2 linked regions of the Drosophila melanogaster genome follow. The protein of the gene in region 1 purifies or fractionates together with the protein of each later gene. This does not show direct contact. Each region holds a gene or a part of one and is shown on either strand. Other genes may lie near its edges. The genes, in order: Pabp2 and orb2.

Evidence for each region.
Region 2: the proteins of Pabp2 (region 1) and orb2 purify together in Drosophila melanogaster (affinity purification with western blotting; 2 studies listed by BioGRID, with this or other methods). This does not show direct contact.

The regions. Positions count from the first base shown.
Region 1 is NT_033778.4:8,129,714-8,135,087, reverse strand, and holds Pabp2 (Pabp2), read right to left. Parts: upstream 3,658-5,374; 5' UTR 3,365-3,657; intron 3,168-3,364; 5' UTR 3,055-3,167; coding exon 2,956-3,054; intron 2,699-2,955; coding exon 2,297-2,698; intron 2,147-2,296; coding exon 2,013-2,146; intron 1,948-2,012; coding exon 1,908-1,947; 3' UTR 1,880-1,907; exon of another isoform or gene 1,611-1,879; intron 1,474-1,610; 3' UTR 714-1,473; downstream 1-713. Other genes in the region: Obp44a (Odorant-binding protein 44a), read left to right, coding at 77-121, 192-578; CG42516 (uncharacterized protein), read left to right, coding at 3,944-4,396; Pbp49 (PSEA-binding protein 49kD), read left to right, coding at 4,460-5,374. UniProt on the Drosophila melanogaster protein: Involved in the 3'-end formation of mRNA precursors (pre-mRNA) by the addition of a poly(A) tail of 200-250 nt to the upstream cleavage product.
Region 2 is NT_037436.4:8,950,224-8,955,414, reverse strand, and holds the start of orb2 (orb2), read left to right. Parts: upstream 1-2,180; 5' UTR 2,181-2,596; intron 2,597-5,191. Other genes in the region: GNBP3 (Gram-negative bacteria binding protein 3), read right to left, coding at 1-389. UniProt on the Drosophila melanogaster protein: RNA-binding protein involved in translational regulation and required for long-term memory. Required in mushroom body gamma neurons for long-term memory in male courtship. Binds to mRNA 3'-UTRs.

The sequences.
Region 1 (5,374 bases):
AGTCAACAGTTTCCTCCGAGCGAGCATTCAGTCCTCACACAATCTATCACAGAAGCCAAAAAAAATAAGATTCACCATGAAGAACGCTGTTGCTATTCTGCTGTGCGCCCTGCTGGGTCTGGTAAGTGTTGCAAGGAGACAGAAGCCGATGGCAGCCAGTAATCTAAATTCATCCGTTTGCTCCTCGACAGGCCTCTGCCTCCGACTACAAGCTGCGCACCGCCGAGGATCTGCAGAGCGCGCGCAAGGAGTGTGCCGCCAGCAGCAAGGTGACCGAGGCCCTGATCGCCAAGTACAAGACCTTCGACTATCCCGACGATGACATCACCCGCAACTACATCCAGTGCATCTTCGTCAAATTCGACCTGTTCGATGAGGCCAAGGGCTTCAAGGTGGAGAACCTGGTGGCGCAACTGGGCCAGGGCAAGGAGGACAAGGCCGCGCTGAAGGCCGACATCGAGAAGTGCGCCGACAAGAACGAGCAGAAGTCGCCCGCCAACGAATGGGCCTTCCGTGGCTTCAAGTGTTTCCTTGGCAAGAACCTGCCCCTCGTGCAGGCCGCCGTCCAGAAGAACTAGGAGTTCAGCGCAGTTCCACATCAATTCTAGAAGCGAAAGATCAATCAACACGCAAGCAACGCGGCATTTTCGAGTTGAAATCCGCTCAGGCTCTGCAATCCTACGATTGAAATAAAACCATATAATAGTGCTTTTGAATGAAGAATGTTCTTTTTATTATTCACAATATTTCTGAGGGCTGGAAGAGAGGTAGGGCTGCTGGTGGTGGCAGGAATCAAGCTGTTACTCGCATCCTCAATCCCAAAAAACCTTGTCCCGCCCAAAGGAAAGGCATTGATAGCTTATTTAATTCGATTATATTTGTCTTCATCTTTTTCGCTTTAGTAAATTCAACTTCTTTTCTTATCTTCTCTTTACTCTATATATTTTTTTTTTAAATATATAAATTACACACGCACTTTTTATATATTTTGTTGATTTACTTCTTTCCCAAGAGTCTTGTGTTCTTTTGATTTTTTTTTTATATTTTCTTCCTTCTTTATTTGCTTTTGCCATCTTTTAACTTCTTTTATTTGGGGTTTGTGGTTTCTTTTGCGCTTCTTTTATATATACTTATTGTTGTATATACTTTTTTGTTTTTTAAATCAACTTCTTGTTTTTCATAATCTTTTTTTTTTTTTTGATGTTTTATTGAAAATTAAAATGTGTGAAAAGGGGGTGTTTGGTGTTGGGTGCTTCAAAAAACATTATAGCCAAGTCAAGATATTCGTTTTCCTTGTTGATTTTTTATTATTTTCGAGGTCTCTTCTTTTCGCCTGTTTTCTTGCTGCTGATGCATTTTTTATTGAAACGATATTTTTTCTGGCGTTTTCTGTTGCGATTGTTTTCTCTTTTTTATTTAGCAAAGAAGTTTGGCAATAAAATAATGTTTTTTGAAATTATATTGTAAAAAAATCTGAAATCAAATAGTTAATGGATTAAAGACGACAGTCGGTAAATCGAATGGAAGCATTATAATAAAACCCAACACGCTGCGAATGAGAGCAAGGTATTCCCATAAAGGGTTCGGAAAATTATTCTGTTTTTGACCATAAATTTGATTGTTTTTATTTCCCGTAATGATCTACCAGCTATGCAAACTAAATCTATTTAGCTCCATAAAAACAAACGGCATTTTCTAACAACTTAAATTTAACATAAAAAGACGTCCTCATTGGTTTTATAAATTTTAAGAAAAAAAATGTATCAAAATATAAGAGATAGATATCGGATTACTTTATGTAACCGACATAAATCGGACGCAACCCACACATATAAAATTTCAACTATCAATTATTTTCAGTTCGAAATTGTCAACTTACCTTACTAGGGATTTTAATAAAACAATAATCAGTAAGGAGCGTAGTAATTGGCGCGACCACGGTAACCCCTTCTGGAACGAAAGACAGACCGGGATTAGCTCGATCCAATCGGGATTTTCCAGAGCCCACTTACATAGCTCTTCGGGCGCCTCGGAAGGTGGAGTGACAGCACGCCCGGGAGACACGGGCTCCTCGACCCCGGAAGCTGCCGCGTGCGAAACGGTTTGTGGTGGAGAGTCCAGGGCGGTTTGTGCGCTTCGACATTACCTGAAAGTCAATAGATTAAGCTAAAGTCAACTCTAAATATGTGCTTTCAAAATTGCGCTACGTAGGAGTCCCTAGGACTCATTCTATCCACATATGTACATGAGAGTTTGATAGGTAGCAGGACTAGCAAAAAGTGCTTCAGATACTCACCTTTATTTGACGCCCTCGGAAGAGGGTTTCGTTCATGGCCAATGCCGTCTCGACAAACTCCTTGGAACCAAACTCAATGTATGCGAATCCCTTGGGGTGCCCGTCAGCCTTGTTGCAGAGTATGGTTACTCGGTTGATTGTGCCGCATCCGTGGAAGTGGGCCTCCAGTTCCTCGGCCGATGCGCCGTAGTCCACATTGCCCACGTAGACGGACCGCGTGTCGATTTCCTGCTTCTCCTCAAGAGAAAGCGGGACTGTGGCCAAGCCGGTGGTAGACCCACCGGCCATTTGTTTGTCCACCTCCGACTGCATCTGCTTTATCTTCTCGGCCTCCTCTTCCATCTCCTTGACTCGAGCCTTTATGGCCTCCAGTTCCGGGTCGATTTGCATGCTGCCCTCCTCCTGGCGACGAGGAAAATATGAAATTTAGTGGTATTTGATTTGGAGCGATGAGCAAACGCCCGAAACCACAGCAGACAATGGAATGGAGTGGCGGTGCGAAGTGACGCTCTGAAAATGGCAGCCATTGCTGCGGTTTTCGGCTTTGTATATCCCCCAAAGCTTTGCGAGCTTTTCCAGGGAATTCGGCGGGCTTTCGCAAGGCGTGAGGCCAAGAAACTGGTTCTTGGGCACTGTCTACAAGGGCAACCCCAACTCACCTCGACCTCTGTGGCGATCTCAGTCTCTTGCTCCCCGTTCGTCTCCTCCAATGACTCCAGGAGCTGATCCTCGTTCAATGTGATATCTTCATCGGCCATTGCTTTGGATTTGGGTTTGTTTACGTCTGCTACAAAAGCTCGGTTTTGTTGGCGCAAAAGCTTCCGGCGTGGTACTCAAAACGGCAGTTGTCGTAACTATGTATGTATGGTAGCTGTCAATGAGAAAAGGGCGGCGAAAGTGAGCATAAAGAGCGTAAAACATTAAGAGCGCGAATGAAGAGTTCATCATGCAAATGCAGTGAAAATCCAAGCCATAAGTAAATAAATTCAGGCTGCGGACACCGAAATGTCTAGGTTTCACTGCGTTCGCACTACTACACTGATATTTAATTAAACACACTGTACTTACGTTTAATAAATGTACAAATTACGAGCTCGTTCTGCTGACGTTGAGTTCGCCCAAAATGGCTGCCCTGTGAAAACACACGTACGCTGGGTTGCTGGGTTGCTGTTTTTCGTTCAAAAGTCTACGTTTTTAAACCCTTTTCGACTTTGTTTCGCGCCACACCACGTCAGCATAAATATTTATTTATAAGCTTATTTATTTATTATTTACTAATATTTACAACTATACGAAAACGTACGTAGTTTTTGACACAAATTGAAACAGATTTGTGTTCGCCTCGTTTTTACCGATGACAGTTTTCGCCTCGATAGTTTCGATGGTTTGGTGGTGGGTTTACCTATCGATAACTGCCGGTATTTAAGAAAGCAGTTCTTTGGATGATAAAAATAATAGTATTTTCACACCACAATGCCATTTTAAATTTACCATAGGAAGGAAAGAAGAGGAATGTGCACGCACATTTCTAACAAGGTTTTGTAAATGGGAATCAGACAAATTATTGTTTAAGGAAGTCATATATTGCGAAATAACGCCATCATTCAACCATCAATCAGGGCCCATGCATAACGATAAAAGGAGAACATGAACGATTCCTCCGATTCGGAGTACGAGGACACAGAGTACCTGGTATTTGCGGATTTCAAGAACCACATTCATCCGCACCAGCTGAAGCACGAGGACGCGGCCATTAAGATCATCGGAATCGAGAGTGACACGCCCATGGCCGAGGTAAATGGAAGCATTTATCGGGGACGCTACGAACATTCCGTGGGAACCAACGTGTTCTTTGAGAAGGAAAAAGACAATCTGGCAAGTGATCCGCTTTTTGAGTCAGTGTGTCGCCAGCGGTACCAGTACGTGGACAAATCCACCAAGGTGATATCTTTTGAAAGGGTCTACGTGGACAATTTGCACCAGGAGGTGGAGAAGTCGGCTGAGACTGAAGAGGACGATCAGACCGAGCCAAAGCCAGAATCTCTGAAGCTAAATATAACTTACAAGGAGGCTATTAACAAGTTTGGAGAAGATCATTGAGTGTGGAGAACTGAGTCTAATCCTGAACAAAAAACACTCTTTCAAGACATACCTCTTAGTACCATGGATACCACCTATATTACAACGAATCCAGCTTTAAGCCTGCGAGACTTTCTAGCCGACTATCAAAAGAAAATATCCGGTACTGCAGACGAAGTGCCCTTCTTTCTCCAAAAAAACCCAGTACTTGTCGACGTGTCTGAAAGCTGTTCCCTGGACTTGATCGAGTCCCCAGACGACAGCTCGATTGCAGTCTTCCAGCCCGCCGCAGACAAATGCCGCCCAACCTTTTCTCCGCCGCAGGAGAACCAGCATGTGCCCTCCACTTTTACTGCTCTAAGCCAGCACAAGGACAAGTCCCGTAAGTGTCCCTTTGGCCGCACCCAGTACAGCCACAAACTGAATCCGACGCCGACAGACTCGCCTAACCTGCACATCGATGCTTGCGGCGAACTGGAGCTAACCGTGCGTCTATATCGACCACCGCGGGCCTACCATCGCGGGTTTAAGGTGGAGATTCCCGTTTTCGCCGAGGAGTTCGTATGTCTGGGCAGCAATTATCTGACCGAGCTGCGGGACAAGATCAGCTGCGTTTGCAATGGAAAACGGTTTGTCGACATCAGCGACGATCCAGATGCACCGTTGCCATCCATTGACACAAATCCCGGTTACTTCTTCATCAACGACACATTCTACAACGACCAGCGCAATCCGGACAATCCCGACTATTCCAAGACCGTCTTGCAGTGGGCTGCCAGAGCGAACGGAGTGAACGGAGAAACGCTTAAGGTGGAGAGTATGGAGGGCAAAAGATTCATCGATCTCACTGTCAGCCCCGGATCACCGCTACACTACCTGCACCACGGCAATTGCGAACACCTGTTTGTGATCTCCCAGGTAGAGGTGCTAACGCCACTTAGTAAACGGCCAGATCGCAGCCTGTATCCCTATCCTCACGCCTTCAGTACGTTTAATCGC
Region 2 (5,191 bases), on another chromosome or scaffold:
GAGGCATTATTACCACTGTACCCATTGACCACAAACGACCCGTCGTCTTCGCGATAACCCAGTCCGTTGTAGATAACGTATGTCCAGTAGTACAGGGTGTCGCCAGGCTTTAGAGCCGTAATCCGGTCCCGGAAGGTCCAGCGTCCGTTTTTCGCTTTGACAATGTCCCGTGCCCAGGTGCCAGCCTCCAGGCCCTCCATCTCCTCATTTAGTTTGCCATGGAAGGCGAACAGGGTGATGCCCTCCTCATCGGGAATTGAGACCTCGAATCCCTTGGGATAGAAAACATCGATCTTAGCCTTGGGTACTTCATACCCCTGAACGCCAAGGAGCAGGAACAGCAGTTGGAGGCAGCAGCTCCAGGCCACAAAGCGCAATGCATCCGCCATTGTGGGAATACCAATTAAAACTGCGATGAGCGGTCAGACAACTCGGACTTGAAAATCTGAGAATCTTATCAAGAACCGGTCGAGGCTTGTTTGTTAAAGGTGCACTGCAAAAAAGTACACACCGTAAAGTGCTATCGCAGATTCTAAAGTCTAAAGCCTATGTTGAAGCAAGTATGTGCCATCGTAGCTAAAAATAACAATGGGCGATTTAATCAAGAAAATAAAAAGTAAAATACAATAATTTTGGTGTTTTTATATATAAATATCTTTAATGGTAGTATTTTCTAAGTGTAATATTTATTTGAGATTTTTTTGCCAATGTTTAGAGAAGAGCGACAACACTCCCACAAGAAGAATTTGGGATTTACCCAATCACAGCCATTGAGAGTAAGCTTTTAGAAGTATGAGTAAGAATAAAGAAGAACATACGGACAAAATGTACAACCTTCTATTAAAGATGATTTTAGAGATTTTAAAAAGCCCGCTTAATAAACAGCGAAGTTGCCCAACTCTAACGTGTCAGCTGTTTGTGGTATTGTGGTATATCGATAACTTTGCTTGCGGTATATCGCTGTAGTAATAAGGGCATAAGGGCATATCAGTGAAAGATTAAATTTTTTTGTTAATAGTTTCCATTGTTGCCATTAGGTAAATATTTAAACAATACTTCTATTCTGAAATAATAAGCTTCGCCGTGTAGCAGGCGACGAATTTCGATGAAATTCTGAGTCTCGTCCGTTTCCTTGTCTTATTAGCTTTCGTTCTCTCGATAGAAAAATTTGTAGAAAATATCACACACGGGAAAAAACAAAAACATGAACATATTTTTGTAAAATATTTAATTAGCGAGAAGGACACAGCGTACACGTATATTTTGTGGTTTCGCATGTTGTTCGTCAGTGTTTTTGTGCAATTATTTGAAAGATTTGGCCAAACGCGAAACGCAACAGAAAGAGGAGAACACAATAAGACAATAACAAATTCGCAGCGCGTGTGTCGTTGAATGTGCGTGGTTGTGTGCGTTTGTGCTGCTGCCAAAAGAACGCGGATATAAACAAATATCCATTTGGATCGTTGGAGCTGTTTTGTTATTGTAAGTAATGCAGATTTATGTAATTCACTTGTGTGTGTGCTCTTTTTGACCAGTCTTTGTTGTTGTTTCTGCGCTATGAAAACAGCTGTGGCGTTGCCAGACAACATAGCGCTTTATATAATTTTCTATAGGGCTGAATTACACATAATTGCTGTGCTTAGCTTAATTATTACAACATTGGGGCCATTATTTATTTTCCTTGCTAATTACGAGTGACATGTAAAGTTATCGATAAATCGATTGGCTCGTTGGATGGTTTGTTATGGCAGAAGGGGTTCCAAACAACGCACTATAGGCTGAATGGTACCTTTTTGTGGCCAAAACTCCATTCTGTAATTGAGTGTTGTAAATAGCGCTTTTAGGTATATTAGCTGAAACAAAAACTTATGTTTAACTTGAGATTTAAACTGAAAATAGAGAAATCTCAATAAAAAAACGAGTTAATTTAATATAAGGGGCGGTGCCACGACCAGAATTTTTGGTACTATAAAAGATATGGGCTAGTGTCACCCAATGCAAATAACATAAACAAAATATCTCTCCGATTTAAAGTTATTAATTTTGGCCACAAAAAGGTACCATTAAGCCTACAGTGCATCGCACGAAAGCAAAACAAGCGAGAATGATTGATTTTTCGTCGTGCGTCTTCGGGCGAGTGGCAGCTTCGTGGAAAAGCGGGCAGCAGTGAAAACTTTTGGCATCACAGTCGTTGCTGACGAGCGGAAGGGACCGCAGCTCGGGAAAATCAGGAAAGAAAACAACGCGTCAGGGCGCTCTTCTTAAATTTGAAAATTAAATGCAACTAAATAGCGTAAATTAGTCAAAAGTGTAAATAGTTAAAATCGTTTTATAACCAAAAATTACCAGTGTAAATCGCTTATTAGTGCTGTGTTAAAAATAGTTACCGTTGTACGGAAAGAGAGAATCGAGTGCAAAGGAATTTTCCTACGTCACAGGCTGTGCGTTTGTGTGAGTGTGCACCCCCGGAAATGTAACACGCACACTGGCGCAGGAAAAACTTGCACCTGAAAGTTTTCGTCGTGTTTTCCATCTTCGTGCGCTCTCGGCATTCGACATAACACAAAAAAAAATAAATTGAATAACGCAGCAAAAGGTTAGTTATCCGCTATTCAGTGCACCTGTCAAAAATCCTATTTAAAATTCGGACTTATTTGCCCCAGTTTTTATCCAGGGCTGGCATTATCTACCGTCAGCGCGTGTGTATATTAAGTGAGTGTGCGTGCGAGTGTGTGTGTGTGAGAGAGTGTGTACGTAACCAATTGGAACTGGGGCAACTGGCAAATACGGCAACGAATCGGTGGAGCAAAGCAAACGCCGCAATAAACCCCTAAAAAATCTCCAACCCCGTGAAGCAAGCACGAGAAAAGCTGGCTGAAAGCTGCAACTTGGCCCAGTTACTTTGGCTCTAATTGCAGACGTGATAATAGAAGTGCACACAAAGCATAATATTTCCAGAGGGGTGGGTGTGGGACCAAAACCAAAAAGGGGAGAATAAAAAACAGCAGCAGCAGCATGACAAACAAAAACAAACTTCATTTGCCAAGAGCCTTTCAACCAAATTTGTTTGCACACTCATAGCTACAGATAGAGATACAAAGATACAATTGCATTTCAGTTGAAGATGAGCGGCTCTTCCACTTTTCTCGGTTTCTGAGCTCTCGAGTTGGTAAACAAAATTTCGAATTTTTTGGGGTGGCAGGTAGAATAACTGGTTTTATAAATTAACACTTGGCCACATTCAGGGGTAGTTTTTTAATGGGTTTCTTCGTATCACTTTAAAGCATTATCAACAAATACGAGTTAAGATTTACTATTCGCTGCTGCACACCCTAAATGGAAAAACTAAATAAATTTTGAAAACGATACAATAAAGAAATGTTAAATTCAATACCAACTAAAAAATACAGAAAACCAAAGATGTAAAAAAAAAGAAAAACTGATCTAGAAAATAACTCCTTAACTACTGCCAAGTATATTTTGTAGAAGAAGCTGTGAAACTTGGGAAAGTACCCCTAAAATAATGCCCCAATCCTAAGCCGCCGCTCTTTTTGAAGCTGAGCCAAGCAGTCTGTGCTTTTGGCGGCACATTACACTTGTTTACTTTTGAAGTGTGCGTGTGATACGCCTGTGTGTATGTGAGTGCTTCGTGGTGTGTGTGTGTGTGTGCGCTCCATGGGGGCGTTACTGTCTTTGTTGTTGTTATTGCTGTACGTCGTCGTCGTTCCTTCTTCGGCTATTTTTTGGGGGTCGCTCTCGTCTCGTTTGTAGGGCAAAATTGTGTATTGATTATGCCAGTTTTATTTTCCTTTTGTCTACATCCCCAGCCCAGTTTCAAAAACTGGAAAAGTGTGGGGCACCTGCGGTCTGTTTTTCATGCCCGACTGAGCCATTTCATTGGCACAGCGATTTCGTTGTCTCTCCGCATTTAACTAATTAAGAGCCTCTGTCTGCCCATCTCCCCCCTTTTTCAGAACAATAGACGTTTTCCGGTCGCTCAGCCCAAAATGAAGTGCGTGTCCAGGGACAGACGAAAAGCTTTAGAAATTGGATAGTTTAGTGCACTCAACGAAATTTTCAGATACTTTGCATATCTTATTTTTGGACTTAAAATGTAAGAAGCTTAAGAAGAAAACAATACATATCATATGTAAATGCTCCTTTAAGTAGGCAATATTTTGTTCAAAAACAGTTTTTTTTCGAGTATTTTGGAACAATACTTTATTTATGATTAAAATATTTTATTGAATTATTTATAATAATACTTTGACCACATTATAATAGTTTAATTTTGATTTAAATTGCATATTTTGAGAAACTAAACATAGCAATGTGTGGCACCTATTTCCCTCAGTGTTTCTATATGCTGCGCGTATTATATGCAAAACGGGTAGCATATTTGACCGACATCGGGAACAGCGGGCTCTGAAAATCGTTTGCCTCCGGGGGTGGCTTTTGTAATTGGAAAAGCGATCAATTGTAATCCCCCCACCAGGCGGGTTTTCACTTGACTAGCGCTACCAATTTAGAACTCGCTATACCCCATTATCAGGCCATATCTACACACTTTTATTACTCATGCACAAAATACGAAAGGCAAAAGTTTAGAATAGCACTTGTTTATTTGTTATTTTTGGCCCGTCGCTTGCCAAGTTTGCTTTTATCAATAATATGATTGATTGCTGTTCGGTTCCATTGTTTTTTTCTTTCACTTTTTTCCCACAACACGCATTGCACATTTTGTGACCCATTTTATCTTTGGCTTTTCGTTGTTAGCCCGATTAAAGAACGTGAATAGATAGGGAATTTCTTGTTGGCCATAAAAATAGCTCAGTCACATCGAAACGCAATTACCAATGCGCTCTGTGCAAACCGTCAGTTTCTAATAGCCAATTTAGAATTTAAAGTTCAATGGGATATATACATTTATCCCAGTTTTTTAAGCATATGCTTATTTAGTTGAATATATTAGTATTTTAATATACAATGTTTTGTCAGCATATTGGAGTGAAACTATTCACCCAATTTGTAACTTATATTTTCTTATAAATTTTCCTTTCATCGTTAAATGGTAAAATGCTCTGCGAAAATAAATTTTCTTTGAAATGATTTTCTGATGAGCTGGCGAAGATCGTCCAAACGGTCACTGGTAAAAATGTATTAAGGGTTTTAAAAATAGCAAAATAAAAAT